Linked DNA regions of Oreochromis niloticus. The protein of the gene in region 1 purifies or fractionates together with the protein of each later gene. This does not show direct contact. Links are inferred from orthologs where the notes say so. Each region holds a gene or a part of one and is shown on either strand. Other genes may lie near its edges.

Region 1 (7,652 bases):
TATCTTGAGGCCCTTACAAAATGGATGTGCTATGCATAGTTTTTTTTACTGAACAGTTTACTTTTTTTTTTAATTGGGATTATTTATTTGAGTGCTTTAGCCCTAGATTGTTTTATTTTCTACATATAATTGGAATGATTTCATCCCAAATCTGTAATTTTGACACCCAAACGTGTGTGTTTATCTTAGGGGGCAAGTAGAGTAGGCATGTGTGGCATGTATTTCAGTGCTGTTTGCAAGAGTTGGATGACATGTGCTACCAATCATTCACTTGAGCAACATCAGTTGAATGAGGATGAGCAGGATGAGTTGCAGCTGCCCCCTGACTTTTGAAGGCAAGGCGGTAAAATTAACTTGTAGATTGCATTAAGATGCTTTTTAGTTTGGATGAATTTTGTATGCTAGCCACTGAGAGAACCTGAGTGTAAGTTTAAAGTCAGTAAATCTGCTACCAGTATATATGAGAAGAGTGGAGACAAGAACAAGGGATTGGTTGGGTTTAATGTTAACCATCTTTGTGTCTCTGCAGCAATTTCTGATGAGCAACAAGCTGGAAACTGCAATGTGGCTGTCACGACTCTTCACTGTCTATTGCTCTGTAATGTTCATTCTACCAGTTTTGGGGTGAGTTCACTGTGGAAAATCATCTAATTATAAATGTTGATTAGCTTTAAAAGTAGTTATAAACCAATCTAAATCAGCATTTGAGTGTTTGTCACTGCTTGTATATTTCAGACCTTATGCAGCAGCTAACTTCTATCAGAGAGCGTTGTTAGCGAATGCCCTCACCAGTGCTCTTCGCTTACACCAGAGGCTTCCACGCTTTCAGCTGAGCAGAGCTTTCTTGGCCCAGGCTCTGCAGGAGGACAGCTGTCATTACCTGCTCTACTCACTCATCCTGGTCAACTCCTACCCCATTACAAGTATCCTTTCATTGTGAGCAAGTCTGCAAGTTTAAATGGAGATGATAGCATTGCTACATACATTGTGTGTTTTGTTTTTTTAGTTTTAAACAATAATGAAACACTATTTCACTGTTATAGTTGGACAGTGATTCACTATTTACTTGTTGCTGCAGTTTTTTTCCAAAGACAGTCTGATAGGATTCCTTAAAGGGTTCGTTTTGAGACATTCAATAGGATTCAGACCTGCAGTATTACAAATCAATTAGTCTTAGCAGTGAAAGATTTAGTTTTTCCATAGGTGCAATCATGCTCCCTTACTATTGTATTATTTAGGAGGAAGTTGTTCTTTTCTGTTATTTAACCTTAACCTTCTTGTCCAGTGAGCATCTTTCCAGTTTTTCTTTTTTCCTTGCTTCACGCAACTACCTACACAAAGAAAGTTCTTGATGTAAGTATGAGTCACCACAGTGACTTATTGAAAATTACTGTGAAATCAGTTTAAACATTATTTAGCCACAAGCTGGGATATTAGTACCAGCCAGACCACCATGTCTGAGGCAGCAGAGAAGGTTTGTGGTTGGATTCACACAATGGCAACAGAGCAGCGCTTTACATGGCTGCTCTGCTCCTGTTGGTGTGTGTGTGCGTGTTTGAGATAGATTAGGTAAATTAGAAACACATCGTAAAGAACTTTATAGTTAACTGTTACAGTTAAATGGAACTATGAAAGTATAATGTACCATTTAGACACAACTTAAAATCTGGAAGCTAATGATTTCTAATGTGTTTTCCTTTACCTTTTACTTCTTGCTCCCACTGCTCCTTTCAAAATGTTAATTTGCCAAATCTTTCATTTCACTTTGTGACTATTTTTTGTTTCTTTTAGACCATGGGCCCAAACAGCATGATGTTTATCCGGGGCCTCCTGGACAAACTGACATCTAATCAGCAGAATATCCTGAAGTTTATTGCCTGTAATGAGATCTTCTTGATGCCAGCAACTATTTTTATGCTGTTCAGGTATGCGTACAACTGTTTCTTTTGTGAAGGATTTCTTTTGTGAAGACCCATTGTAGCATCCCTAATCTAGTGATATGTTAATATTGATTACTGGCAGTGATTGTTTTGTTGTTGTTGTTGTGTTAATCTCATAAATATGTATCAGTTTTATCTCAACAAATGCAAGCCCTTCTTTGTAATCTTAATACAGAGTGTCCAGTTTTCACATGTTCATGTCAATAATATTTTGTCAACAGCGGCCAGGGGAGCCTATTGCTGCCTTTCATTTATTACCGATTCCTCACTCTGCGCTACACATCCAGAAGAAATCCATATTGCCGGTAAGATTTTGAATTATCTGTTATTGTCACATAGCAACATGGTGTTGCGCTGTTGCTTCACAGCAAGAGGCTCTGGGGTTCAACCCAGGACATGGCCCTTCTGTTTAGAGTTTTCATGCCCTGCTATTCAGAAGGTACAAAGATTAGATTAGATTTACTTTCAATACAATCCGAGTGAAGTACTTTTCTTTCTGTCTCAGCACCTTGTTCACCGAGCTGCGAATTCTTTTGGAGCATTTCATCATGAAGCCTGCCTGCCCTGCCTTCTTCAGGAGGATGTGCCTCAGCAGTATCGCCTTTATCAGCCGCCTCGCCCCCACGGGGGTTTGATTACACTAAATTTGTTTTCCTCATGTGTTGTTTTTCAGTAAGATGTACGATGTGACTTAACTTCGATGGGGAAAGACTTTGCCATCAATGGAAGGAACCGTTTTTTTGAATGTCAACTTTACAGTCTGTGCTCCAATTTTTGTGTATCTGAGTGCAGCTGAAGACCAGCCAGTAATGCACTGAAGGCTCATGCTGATATTTGATTTTCCATCCTTTTAATGTGACCTCATTGAAGCGGTGGACATCCTGTTGTTCTGTTACCTTCGATGGGCTGAGCACATTAGCTTGACATCAGCTGTGTTCCGTTTATCGGCTGTTATCATTCTTTCCTTTCATGTCTTATTTATTCATTAAAATCACTTATTATATAATGAAACATTAACATTCTGAGATTAGTAAATTAATGAACATGTGTTTATAAACAATGGATTCTGATCATTTCTTTAAATAATCATATTGTACTTTTTCAGGTTCTAACTATGTCTGATTTGTAAAGCATCCAATGCTCTTATTTGTCTAAAGCCTAATTATTAAATGTATTCTATCAATGCCATTGGCTCACATTTCAGCAACATGCAAAATCTTATGTAGCTATGATGTCAAATGGATGTTAAACTGAGAAAATAATCTGCTGTATTTTATAGGATATTTTAAGGTACCAGATGTTCTGCTGTATGATTCACAAATGGAATAACTTGCAGAAAGCATGCCATGCTTATGAATGCACTCTGACCTCATTTCTCAGTTTAAAAGCTGTTTTGATTTTGAGTCATTCATTTCTTATTAGGCTATAGGTTTCTTGCTTAATGCATGCTCTGGTATGTTTTTCTTTCCCTGCCATGTTAATTGTGTTTACTTGCCTACAGACAAACCACATTTTTATAATGACAATAAAGTTATCTCCTAAACAAACACAGTGTTGAAGAATGCTAATTGGGTTTGGTACCAATAAGTTCTTGCATTATAATAGTTGACTTCGATATGAACAAATCCTAATAAGGATTTATTTATGCCTGTTTTTAATATTTATTCAAAGCATAGATCTAATATAAAAGTATTTATCACAGATAATTACAGTGTTAATGTATATTGTTTCTTACTAGAGAAATGTGAGTTAGTGAATAATTGTTCATACCCTATGAGTACATTGTTTTTAAGTGGTTTCCAATTAAACCTAAAAACAATTTTACACATACATATCAAATAAATCTTATAGACACACAGCATGCCATTTATCTGGGATATATTTGCCAAAAAAATAAATAATGTGTGATATTTATGTATCATTTTAAATAAGAGTTCTTTGATTTTATGATGCAACAGGTATTTATGTGGGAGAGTAAAAAGAGCTTATTCTGTCCATTTAAGTTCAGACACGTATTCTTCCCTGATTACTTTTGACAACACCAGTTAGTCATCTGAAAACACAAGAAAGAAGACAATTTTCAAGACAACTCTGACAAGATACCATCACTAAAACCAAATTTGAGTTTCTCTACAGTATGTGCCAGCATTTGTGTAGCTAAAGGACTGTGTTTATTAATGGTGTGTATAAAGAAATATGACTATGACTTTTAAGCACCTTCAACATTGGCATAATAAATGTGTCACGAAAATTAAATGGTGTTTTATGTTTAAAAATGAGAGGTGCCAAGAGGGTCTGGATAAGTAGTCAATTTTGTATTTCCCAAAAATAGAGAAAGAGTAAAAGTTGGTACAGATCCTTTAGTAAAAACTAATCAGTTGTTTCCAAAGCTTTGAAAATTCAAAAGGCTAATGGGATTTTTCACATTACTGGCAAAATGGCACGCTTTGGCCACTTTTAAAAAGATTATGGTCATTATTTGCTGCTTTTATGTTTCATTTCTCTTTTTGTCTTTCATGTATTATTGTATTTTCTGCCAGCTGTAGAAGTGACATGACGCACAGGGTGGAAAACGTGAATGAGTTAGCCAATCAGAACACAGCTTCAATGTCTGTTACTCCCTTTCAACCAGTGGAATTGCAGTTTTGTTACAGCCTGCAACGTTGCCATTAGCAACGGCAACTGCCCTCTTCAAGTCTGAAAATGCTGCACAGATCGTTTATACCTGATATCAGCGTTTAATGAAAATTTATCCGCGCTCACATCTACACACATCGACTTCCTTCGTGTCTTTTTTAAAGATGATTTTCGGTCTTTGAGGAAGACTGCGTGCCAGTACCAGTTAGCTCCGATAGCTAAAGCTAGCACGTTGAGCTAATCCACTTGCTTTAGATAATCCCAGTCTCAGCTAGCATCGTTATCGTCTTGGAATTGGGTTGAACGTTTTTCTGACAAAATGTTAATGGTAACGGACGGCTATGGGGCAAGAGTAATGTCTGAATAACCTTCTTGGACTATTTGCAGATTTTTGTTTCTACTTAAGTTGAAACACAGTAGAGAAAGAAGATGGATCTTCGCCTCAATAGAGTTGATTACATTCAGGTAAAACAAAGCAGACCACGTCGGGTTTCTGCTGTCTTTTTTTCTTTTTCTTTTATTAATATTAGGAGTAAAAGTTCCCCTCCATTCTACCTCTCAGGTTGGCGTGACATCTCAGAAAACTATGAGGCTTCTTCCTCCACTGGGAAAAAAGGCAACCCAAAAGGTATCGTTTATGAGCCATACAGTAACCTAAATTAATTAAAATGTGTTTTCTTGTTTTCTGACTAAATCCAGATTGTTTTCCTGCTTTTGCTGAAGACTGCAGATGTTTAAAAAATGTAACCTTGTTTGGGTTTTAGTTTATTTAACTGTAATACTAATTTTGTTTATTAGATGGTAAGAAATCAAAACCAATGACATTGATTTTTGATAAATAATTGCTTTACCAGAGCCCTTCAATAAGTAAGACTTGTCACGCTGTGTAGTAATTTGGGCAGTTGTTTTGAAGTTTCAGTTTAATTGAAAGAGGCAGTTTTCAATGGGACATGTAAACTGCTTGTATAGTCAGTCAAATTTCATAAAAAACACTATAAAAATTAATAGACTTTGCCTCAAAACAATATTTAAACACCATTTTTCCAGCAGGCTTTAATTAAACATGTTTTCTATTAGTTCATTGTAGAAAACTTTAAAAAGTGCATTTTGGGTAAACCTCAAAGGTCATATCACCATTTGGGATCAGTGCTTGGTCAAAACAAATTATAGTATATGTAAGGTCTCTTTTGACACTGGGCTTATCTTCTAGATGTGATTCCTTGCCTTTTCTACAATCATTAATTAAACTAAAAAATGAAATTGGTAAATCTTAGAGTGCTCGATTGGTGTCTCCTCATGTTTCAGGTTGCTATTGCTGATCACGATGGAATACTCACATGTTTTGGTATCAAGAAGGGGGAAGCAGTGGTGAGTAAATATTTTCCTGTCATCACAGAGATTTGAAACAAACAGCTTGTAAGACTTTTGACTCTTTGTTTCAGCCCGTCTTTAAAACACTTCCTGGGCAGAAGATAGCCCGAATGGACCTTGGAGGTGCTGCGGGAACTCCCCAGGAAAAGATCTTTGTCTGCTCTGGTTCTCAGGTCCGAGGATTCACCAAGAAAGGCAAACAGTTCCTCACTTTTGAAGCCAACCTAACTGAGAGCATTAATGCAATGTAGGAACTATGTTTTTTCATTTTGATTTACATTACACGATTGAGCTGTGCAGAGCTGTGTCATCTTTACCCCACTGGGTCTTTTCCAGGCATGTGTCAGGCTCCGACCTTTTTGTGTGCGCAAGTTACATCTACAACCACTACTGTGACTGCAAAGATCAGGACTACTACCTCTCTGGAGACAAGATCAATGACATCACATGCTTGTCCACAGAAAACCTCACTCACCTCGTCCCAGTCCTGGCATGCCAAGATCGAGTGCTCAGAGTCTTGCAGGTAAACTGAGCTCTCATTTACTGTTCTGATTTTGAGTTGCTCTTTGTCAGATGAGACATGCCAATTGTTTTATGGTTTTGTATGTAGAGATCTGAACTTGCATATGACATAGAAGTTCCTGGCCCTCCTTCTGTGTTGGAACTGTATAAAGATAAAGGCAAGCTGATTTCTTTGTTTACTTTAACTATAAAGCATGAAGTTGCTTTATATGTACCAGTTTGAACTTAATTTCTTAGATTTCTCTTTAGGAGAGGAAATTCTCTATGGAACCACAGATGGAAAAATAGGATTGGTTGAGATTGGTGAACATTCAGCTGCGACCAAATGGGAAATTGACAATGACAAAAAGAAAGGAGGTATGTACAGAAATGCAATATTTTTACTGTCCAACAGAGGGTGATTGCTCTGAGTCAAAGCAGTCATAAAGCAGAGTCTACTGCAGCGGTCCCCAACCTTTTTTGCGCCACGGACTGGTTTATGCCTGACAATATTTTCACAGACCGGCCTTTAAGGTGTCGCGGATAAATACAACAAAATAAAACTAGTACCGGTACCGAAAAAAAGAAGATTTATTCATAACACAAGTGAAAAGACCCAGGAAAACCGAGTTAACGATAACAAAATAACACTGAAAACCGATAAAAACCCTGAAAACCATACATTTCACACCTGAGCCTCAACTCTCGCGGCCCGGTACCAAACGACTCACAGACCAGTACCGGTCCGAGGCCCGGGGGTTGGGGACCACTGGTCTGCTGCATGGGCGTGCAGTAACAATTTGTTTCTCAAACAGATCTATCTGATCTCATTTTATACACAGTCTATGTTTCCACAGTGTTTAAACTGATACTCATGCATACTAACTTATGCATTTTTTAACCTCTGGCAAAACGATCACGCTTTCTGTCTCCCAGGAATTCTTTGCATTGACACCTATGATATTATTGGTGACGGAGTGAGTGATATCCTGGTGGGGAGGGATGATGGGACGGTTGAGGTCTACGGCTTTGACAGCTCTAATGAACCGACATTACGCTTTGAGCATGTAAGTGATTAAAAATTCACTCTCCATAGAATTACAGTTGTATTTTTGTAACTGTTACAAACCTAAAGTTCTTTGAATAGTTGTTGCTTAATTTACATATATTAATGCATTTAAGTATTAAATGACAGACTCCCTT
Region 2 (7,449 bases), on another chromosome or scaffold:
CTTTACATTTGGTATCTGGTTGTTTGTGTATTTCTCTTTAATCCACAAAAAAAAAACTTTCAGTATAATATAATATACTGTATATAATAATTATAGAGAAAATGTGCAATTACACCTTTTTTCCTCTTGCATGTTTCTGGTTTTGACAGTGGATGGATAACATCAATCACCATGATCAGCAAGAAAAACCTGGCTGTGGCTGTGGTTATGATGGTAGTGGCTGGATTTTTCACTGTAAACTCTGTGCTGGCTATCATCCTGCTGAAAATGGTACGCAAAAGTAAAACCTCTGTTTACATATATTACTTTTAGAGGTAATCTCATTACTTTATTATGAACCTGTCAGGTTTAATATAATGTATCTTGATGAACTGAATAACCCTAAGCAAAGTATTTTAAACATGTTTTAGTTGTTGAGTTTTCTCATTTATATCTGGAAGCTACGTCAAAGACAAACTAAAAATCGCGGGGTGACAAAATGGCTTCAGAGGAAATATTCAAACCAAGTGTGTGTGCTGAATGCACTTACTCTACAGACTTTCCTCCATGTAGAAGTTCCTGGAGTGTCTTTTGGTTTATAAAGACGATAATTCATTAGAAAGTGGACATAATATTTCATCTTAATGCAAAAAGTGGGGGACAAACAAATACAACTCTTAAAACAATAATCTGTTCCTTGGCTCATAACTCTCCACTAGACATGTATTGTATTTTCAGATATCCTCCTCACTAACAGATGAATGAAACTGAACTCATGATCTCCTTTGTAGACATAAGAACCATGGCCTGAACCTTACAAGAACCAGCAGGTTAAACACGGTTTCATCATTTGATCGCCTGTCATTGTTTACAATTTTCTGTCTTTTCCTATCATCCCAGGTCCATTCTAAATACAGAAACACAGGTGCCAGCTTCACCAAGGCCCAGCAGGAGTTTTCACAAGGTGTCCTGACCAACCGAACTGTCCAAAATGCTGCAACCACCGCTGCTACCTCCGCTGCCCAGGGAGCCTTTGGCAGGAGCCAGGAAAATTAGTGATTTCTACAAGTTTTGTGTCTCTGGCTATTCTCTTTTCTGACCAGCATACCGGGCTAGCCACGTCCCAACATTATCCAGTTGGTGTAAAGGAATTTTTAGGGAAAAGGGCAAAAAGCAAGTAACTTATGAGTATATACCAAGTGGGGTGTCTCCATTCTCCATGTCCACCAAAAAACTAAATAATAAAAAAAAATGGTGTAATTTAGGTAGATGCGTAGCTAAAGACATAAAATCATCTTATAGGAATAGGACCCTACTTTCAGTTAAACTTTATTTGTATAGCATCTTTGATGAAGGACAGTGCAATTCAAAGAGCTTCACAGATGAACTGATAATGGGACGGCACATTAATTTAAAAAAAAAAAAGGTAAAAAGATTATAAAATGCAAAAATAAAATGGATGGAACTTGTAAAGACCTGCACAGATCTCATCAGCATATGTCATATTCATTTATGCTTTAGGGAAATGTCCAGTAGGAAATCTGAAGCTGGGGTTTAGATAGAGGGCAAGGTGAGGACCCCACACAAATAAAATTACAACATTTCATCACTGCATAGCTATTGAAAGCATTTAACAGAGTAGACTAAAGAGATACATGTGAGATTATCTGCAATACAAGAAACACTGATTTAAATCCAGTAATCCTTAAAGATCCCAGTAAAAAGTATCAGGATTTTTCCCTGCTAATGTAGGAATGACATACTGAGGCTTGAAATATAAACTCTTTGTCCAAGTTTGGATTCTCACTTGACATGAGAATGTTTTTTTCCATCTGTGAGCGATGGATCCACTAAATGTTTTTCGCATTACAGCAGCATGCAAAACCTTGCAGGATAACTGTCCTGACTATAAGTGCATTAATACCAATAATACACTTTATGCACAGTTGCCTTCCTCTCAGATGTCCTGTAAAAGTATAAATGATAATAAATGCATACTGTTACATTACTGTGCAGTTTGAACTTTGCTCTCCAAATTTGATGTTTTGATGTGTATATGACAATAGGATGAGCTGCTGATTAATGAAGGTGATGGGATAAAGAGGTCATTTGTACTGTTTTAATCTGTTTACTGATTTTTTTTTTTTTTAATGAAGTGAGGCTTAAAGCTGTTCTTGAAGCAAATGAAGATGTTACATTTTAATTCATGTTAAGAAAACTTGGCATAATACAGAGACTTGCAGTGATTAAAATAAAAGGGGGGGTACGGGTTTATTCATGTAAAGTTATTGAAAGTATAGAATTTGAATGTATTTACATGAAAAGTGCATTAATGAGTAGAAAGAACAATATTTTTGACTTTGTGCCCATGTTAGTTTTACTACATGTTAACTTAATTTCCTGTTTTTTCTAGCTGCACCTACTTGGAATTAGGTTTTAGTGTTTTCATCCCTTTCTCTGTGTGTGTGTGACTGTGTGTGTGTGTGTGTGTGTGTGTGTAAAGTATATAAATACTGTATACTCCTGATCTGATGTTTGTACCTCAGTGCCTTTAAACAGTAACATACAAATCTTTGTGTGAGGATTCAAGTTCAAGGCTGTTAATTCTCTTTTTTTTATCTGTAGCCTGTGGAACAACTGGTGAAGTTTTCTTGTGATCAGAATGTGTTAAGATTATGTAAATATCGGTGACTTATTTAAACATATTTACTGCTGGGGTATGCATTGGAAATCTTAACATTCAATAAACTGTACTGTCTATAAAATTCTGAATTGAAGTCTTGGAAGTGGTCTTGTTAGAAGCGTATTATTATCTATCAAAAGTGGTCCAAGGAAGGAACAGTGGTGAACCAGCGACAGGGTTATGGGCTGTCCTGTGTGGTCCGATCCAACAGGCGAGCTACTATAGCTCAAATTGCCCAAAATATTTAAACGTGGTTCTCATAGAAAGGTGTGAGAATGTCAGTGTCCATGCTGACCCCCTTCCTCTGCTGAACTTCAGCCCAACTTACAGGATTTAAAGAGTCTGTTACTAACATCAACTGATCTTTTATTACAGCACATCTTCATGGGTCTAGTGGGATCCATGCCTCGACAGAAAAAGGGGTGACCAACATAATAATAGGTAGCTGGTCATAACAGCATGCCTAATCAGTGTACATTCTGCCTAATAGACAATGTCATTCTGGCTCATTCACACAAGTTTTAACACATCGCCACAATCTTCCCAGGAGTGGATGTCAGCAAATTTATTTTATTGCAGTGTTTACACACAAGAACTACATTTCAACGTTAAAGTTTATTACAGTACATTTATTAAACAAATATGACTTGCTTTAAGGGTTGCCAGGAGGAATTCTTGGTCTTGAAGAAGAACATGGCAGCACAGCTCTTAGGAGAGATCAGCACAAAACACCTTATACTAAGGAAGGGTGATGATTTGGCCTTGTTTTGCAGCTATGGGATCTGGGCACCTTGCAGTCACTAAGTTAGCCATGAACTCCTCTGTATACCAAAAGAGTCTATAAAAGTGATGATACACAACAGGACACAGATCCCAAGCACAGCATCAATTCTATGAAAAGAAAAGATTGCAATGGCCCGGTCAAAGTCCAGACCTCAACCTGACTGAAATGCTGTGCATAAACACATATCTGCAAACCTCAATGAGCTAAAGAAATGCTGTAAAGAAGAGTGGGCCAAAATTCCTCTGCAATGATTTGAAAGACTGATAAAGTCATACAGAAAATTATTAGTTTAAGTTCTTGCTGCTAAGGGTGATTTTACAAGCTACTGAATCATGTGGTGTACTTATTTATTAAGACTACATAGAATCCTATAGAGTGAAAAAGGTGAAAGATTGCAAATTCGAAACATGAAAAAGCCACAATTCTGGTGTTTGTGTGCCCTGTTTGCATTACTAGATGTATTTTGTTTATAAGCAAAGGAAAAATCTAAAACACACAGAAATATATGGTCGGATTCTGTATACTACACTGACCGTCTTTACTGAGAGACACACATAACCATGGACCTATGATCTCTTGTCACATCCACTGGCAGACCCAACATCTATATATGACCACGTGACTGTTAGAGTTTGCCGACAGTGACGCAGACTGAGAGTAAAGTCAGTCTTAATGGACATCTACCCTGTTAAAGGTGTTGGGAGAAAAATAAAATAAAATAAATAAATAACCTGAACTATAGCTGTGTTTTTGTTTGCGAATGAAACCGAAAATCAGCATTTCATTTTTTTTCTTGAATGATTAATTTTGTGTAGCTAAGCTAAAGTCAATAAGTAGAGGAAGGGGTTGGCTAATGCATTTAATGTGACGTGGCTTTATCAGTAAAAATGGTTCTTAAACCCTTTTTTTGTAAATAAAGTTTTTTTCTTTAATCGGTCCCAGAGCACAAATCCAACCAGCTACGTGTCTGCGCGCCATTGACGTATCCATGGCAACAGCTTCTAGTGTTGATCATCCCAAGATGGCGGACGCGGAAACAACCGCAACGGTGAGTGCGATGCGAGCTGCTCCTCCTTTTCTTGAATAAACACAAACTTGACTCGAAATACAATGAAAGTGTGACACTTCGCGAGAAAGCCCGACTCCAGGTTTTGCCACACGCTTTCTATAACGCTGACTTGAACGTTAGTTAGCTAGGTGGCTAGCCTATTCTAAGTCGGCGCTAAGTTGATTAAGCTGCAGCTAAAGGCAACTTGCGAGACTAATCTCACTCACTCAAGGGCAAATTTAAACCTTAACACTGACAGCTGTAGCTGTGGCAGGGTTGCTGTGGACTGTTTGGGAAGCTTTAGCCCACCCTTAATATACGATAACGTAGAAAACGTTATCAAGCAGCTTTTCATTAACCGGCTTACCACCAATCGCAGTTCTATTATCGCTGTGGCACAATAGCTTTCAGCGTGTAATGAAATGTAGAGAATATCAATAAACTGCTAAGCATCAGCAACCACATCCAAAACAATCCACAAGTGAGGTCAAATATGGGAAGAAAAATATGTGATGCGAGAAGAACTGCGCATGCGTGCATCTACCTGTACATTTCGAAGATAGCAAATGTTACTGTTGTTGCAGTCACTGAACAGAGCATACACAGGAGCACGTTACATTGCAAAAGTTTACCGCTACATCTCAAAAATTTGAATTAAATGTATTCATTTAATATATCTGTCCATTCATCCTTTCATTTAATGGTTATTCGGGATGTGGTGGCAGCAGTCTGGCAGAGACCCCCAAACAGCCCTCTCCCAAGTCACCTCCTCCAGCTGTTCTGGAGGAACACTGAAAAGAGAGAGCAGTCGAGAGACATAATCTCTCCAGTATGTTTTGGTTATGCCTAGAAATTCTGTCCATAGAAGTTATAAACTGAATTGGTGACAAATAGGCAGCTCTTTGTCACCAAGTCTATCCAACCCTACACATTATATATACATTTTTTTATGGTGTATGGAGGGAGGAAGATGACATGTGAGCTTGTGCAGAGCAGTTCAATTCATTCTTTATCTAGCAAAGGCATATACAATTAGAATCAGCTGTAGTCCTGGAGTAGGACATGCAGTACACCATAGACTGGCAGTAGATCTGCATGCTTCTACTCTTTGATTGGGAAATAGTTTTTTTTCCTCTCTCTGTTCATTAGGTCAACACACATGTCATTCAGCTTGTTGGCCCACATTTCCACACAGCCTTTTATCAGTTTTTGAGTGGACAGGATTTTCTGTATTTTGGTGAGGGCTGCCCAAGGATTATTTTACTGTGTACCACACAGTCATGTGAAAAGTCATGTGTTTTTGCAGGACTCTGTGCAGTGCTCTGAGAAACCAAGTACACCCCATGATTCAATAGCCTGTAGAGGTACCATGTAAAAGCAATAACTTGTAATAATTATTAGTAATACTTGTTTGCATGACTTTATCTTCACAAAGTTGCTTCACTTCATTAAGGTTTGTGAGCATTTGTTTATGCACAGTTCTCTTAAGGTCCTGGCAGAGCATTTCAGTCAGGTTTTGGTGTGGACTTTAACTGGACAATTGCAACACCTTGATTGTTTTCTTTTTCAGCCATTCTCTTGCACTTTAGTATGCAGGAGAGTTCGTGATCGACTCAATAACATGGTGCTCAGGCCCTGTGGCTACAAAACACACCCATGGTATTGGTATGAGGTGTTTGTGCTGATATGCTGTGTTGATCTTTACCATACACAGCGCTGTGCATCATGACCAAAGATCTGTACTTTGATCTCATCTGTCCAGTGGACATTTTTCAGAACTTTTGGAGTTTGGTTCAAACCTAAGCTGTGATGCCAGGCTTTCTCCTGGCAATCCTACCAGAAAAGCCATAATTGTTTTTTCTAATTGTGCTGTCATGAACTTTAAATTGTAACATGCAAACTGAGGCCTTTAGAGTCTGAGATGTAGTGCTTGGATTTTTTTTCTGCATTTTCTCTGAGCAGTAAGCATCTGACCTTGGGGTGATTTTGAAGGGACGCCCACTTCTGGGAAGGTTGTTGCATTGTGTTAAAACACACCTGTTTGCTCCAAACCAGCAAACTAAAAGAAAACATCATCTTTGATAGAGGTGCTCACACTTGCCGATGATCAGTTAATTAAGTGCATCTGATTGGCTGGCTGCTACTGACCTTCTTAATTCATATAGAAGAAGTAAGGATCGATGTAGCTTTTCACAGGTCTGCATAGAGTCCTGAGAGTCCTGAGGAAGCTTTTCTTTTTCACTTGACTTTCAGACTCCTGTTTGCTGTTATTTATTTTTCTGCTTGTGTTGTTTGTCACATATTTCAGCTCCCTGTTGCTACTGAACCCAAGAAACGTCGGGCGCCTAAAGGTACAGTGAAAGTACTGCAGGTCATGTTCTGAAATTAATTGAATTATTTTCATGTCGTTGTGTGACATTCATTTTTTTAAAATTCATTTCTAAAAGTTGGTTAAGTGTTGATAACTGAAACTAAAGGTTTTGGAAGTGAACGGCCTGCAGAGGTCACCCTCACCCTTCTGTTTGTTTCCGCTGTAAGGAACAGGCTGTGGCTACATTATGCTGCTGAGCCATTTTCCAGATATTTCTCTGTGTAGAAAATGTCTGGTGATCATTAGAGGATGTTTTGTCATCATTATTGAAGCCTAATGTGCCATTAAATAGTTTATACTTCTGCCCACAGATATTTTGTCTTTTTTTCTTTTATAGTGCTTTGTAATAATAATAATAATCAGAGCTACTGAGAATTGCATCTCTGTGGAAGCAGTTGAATACATGCTATGATGTGGTAATGATAATTTTTATTTAGCATGCAAACCCTTTCCTGGGTTGTACTTAATATGATTCGAAGACACACCCCTGTTCTAACTAAGTTAAAAAAAACAGAAAGTAAAGATTGGATTTTAGGAGACGAATACACATACACCAATGGGAGCAGACTTGAAAACAACCTGAA

Evidence for each region. The genes of interacting proteins can lie anywhere in the genome.
Region 2: the proteins of bbs7 (region 1) and bbs4 purify together in Homo sapiens (co-immunoprecipitation; 7 studies listed by BioGRID and IntAct, counting the BioPlex papers as one, with this or other methods). This does not show direct contact. The link is inferred for Oreochromis niloticus from reciprocal best matches to the Homo sapiens genes BBS7 and BBS4.

What each region holds. Positions count from the first base shown.
Region 1 is NC_031966.2:11,820,161-11,827,812, forward strand, and holds the start of bbs7 (BBSome complex member BBS7), read left to right. Parts: upstream 1-4,581; 5' UTR 4,582-5,006; coding exon 5,007-5,042; intron 5,043-5,139; coding exon 5,140-5,205; intron 5,206-5,882; coding exon 5,883-5,945; intron 5,946-6,019; coding exon 6,020-6,195; intron 6,196-6,284; coding exon 6,285-6,471; intron 6,472-6,558; coding exon 6,559-6,628; intron 6,629-6,707; coding exon 6,708-6,827; intron 6,828-7,385; coding exon 7,386-7,516; intron 7,517-7,652. Other genes in the region: tmem33 (transmembrane protein 33), read left to right, coding at 530-624, 736-923, 1,286-1,353, 1,792-1,925, 2,162-2,245, 2,446-2,575.
Region 2 is NC_031965.2:11,059,988-11,067,436, reverse strand, and holds the start of bbs4 (BBSome complex member BBS4), read left to right. Parts: upstream 1-4,379; 5' UTR 4,380-4,434; coding exon of another isoform or gene 4,435-4,494; intron 4,495-6,802; coding exon of another isoform or gene 6,803-6,845; intron 6,846-7,449. Other genes in the region: scamp2l (secretory carrier membrane protein 2, like), read left to right, coding at 150-270, 880-1,035.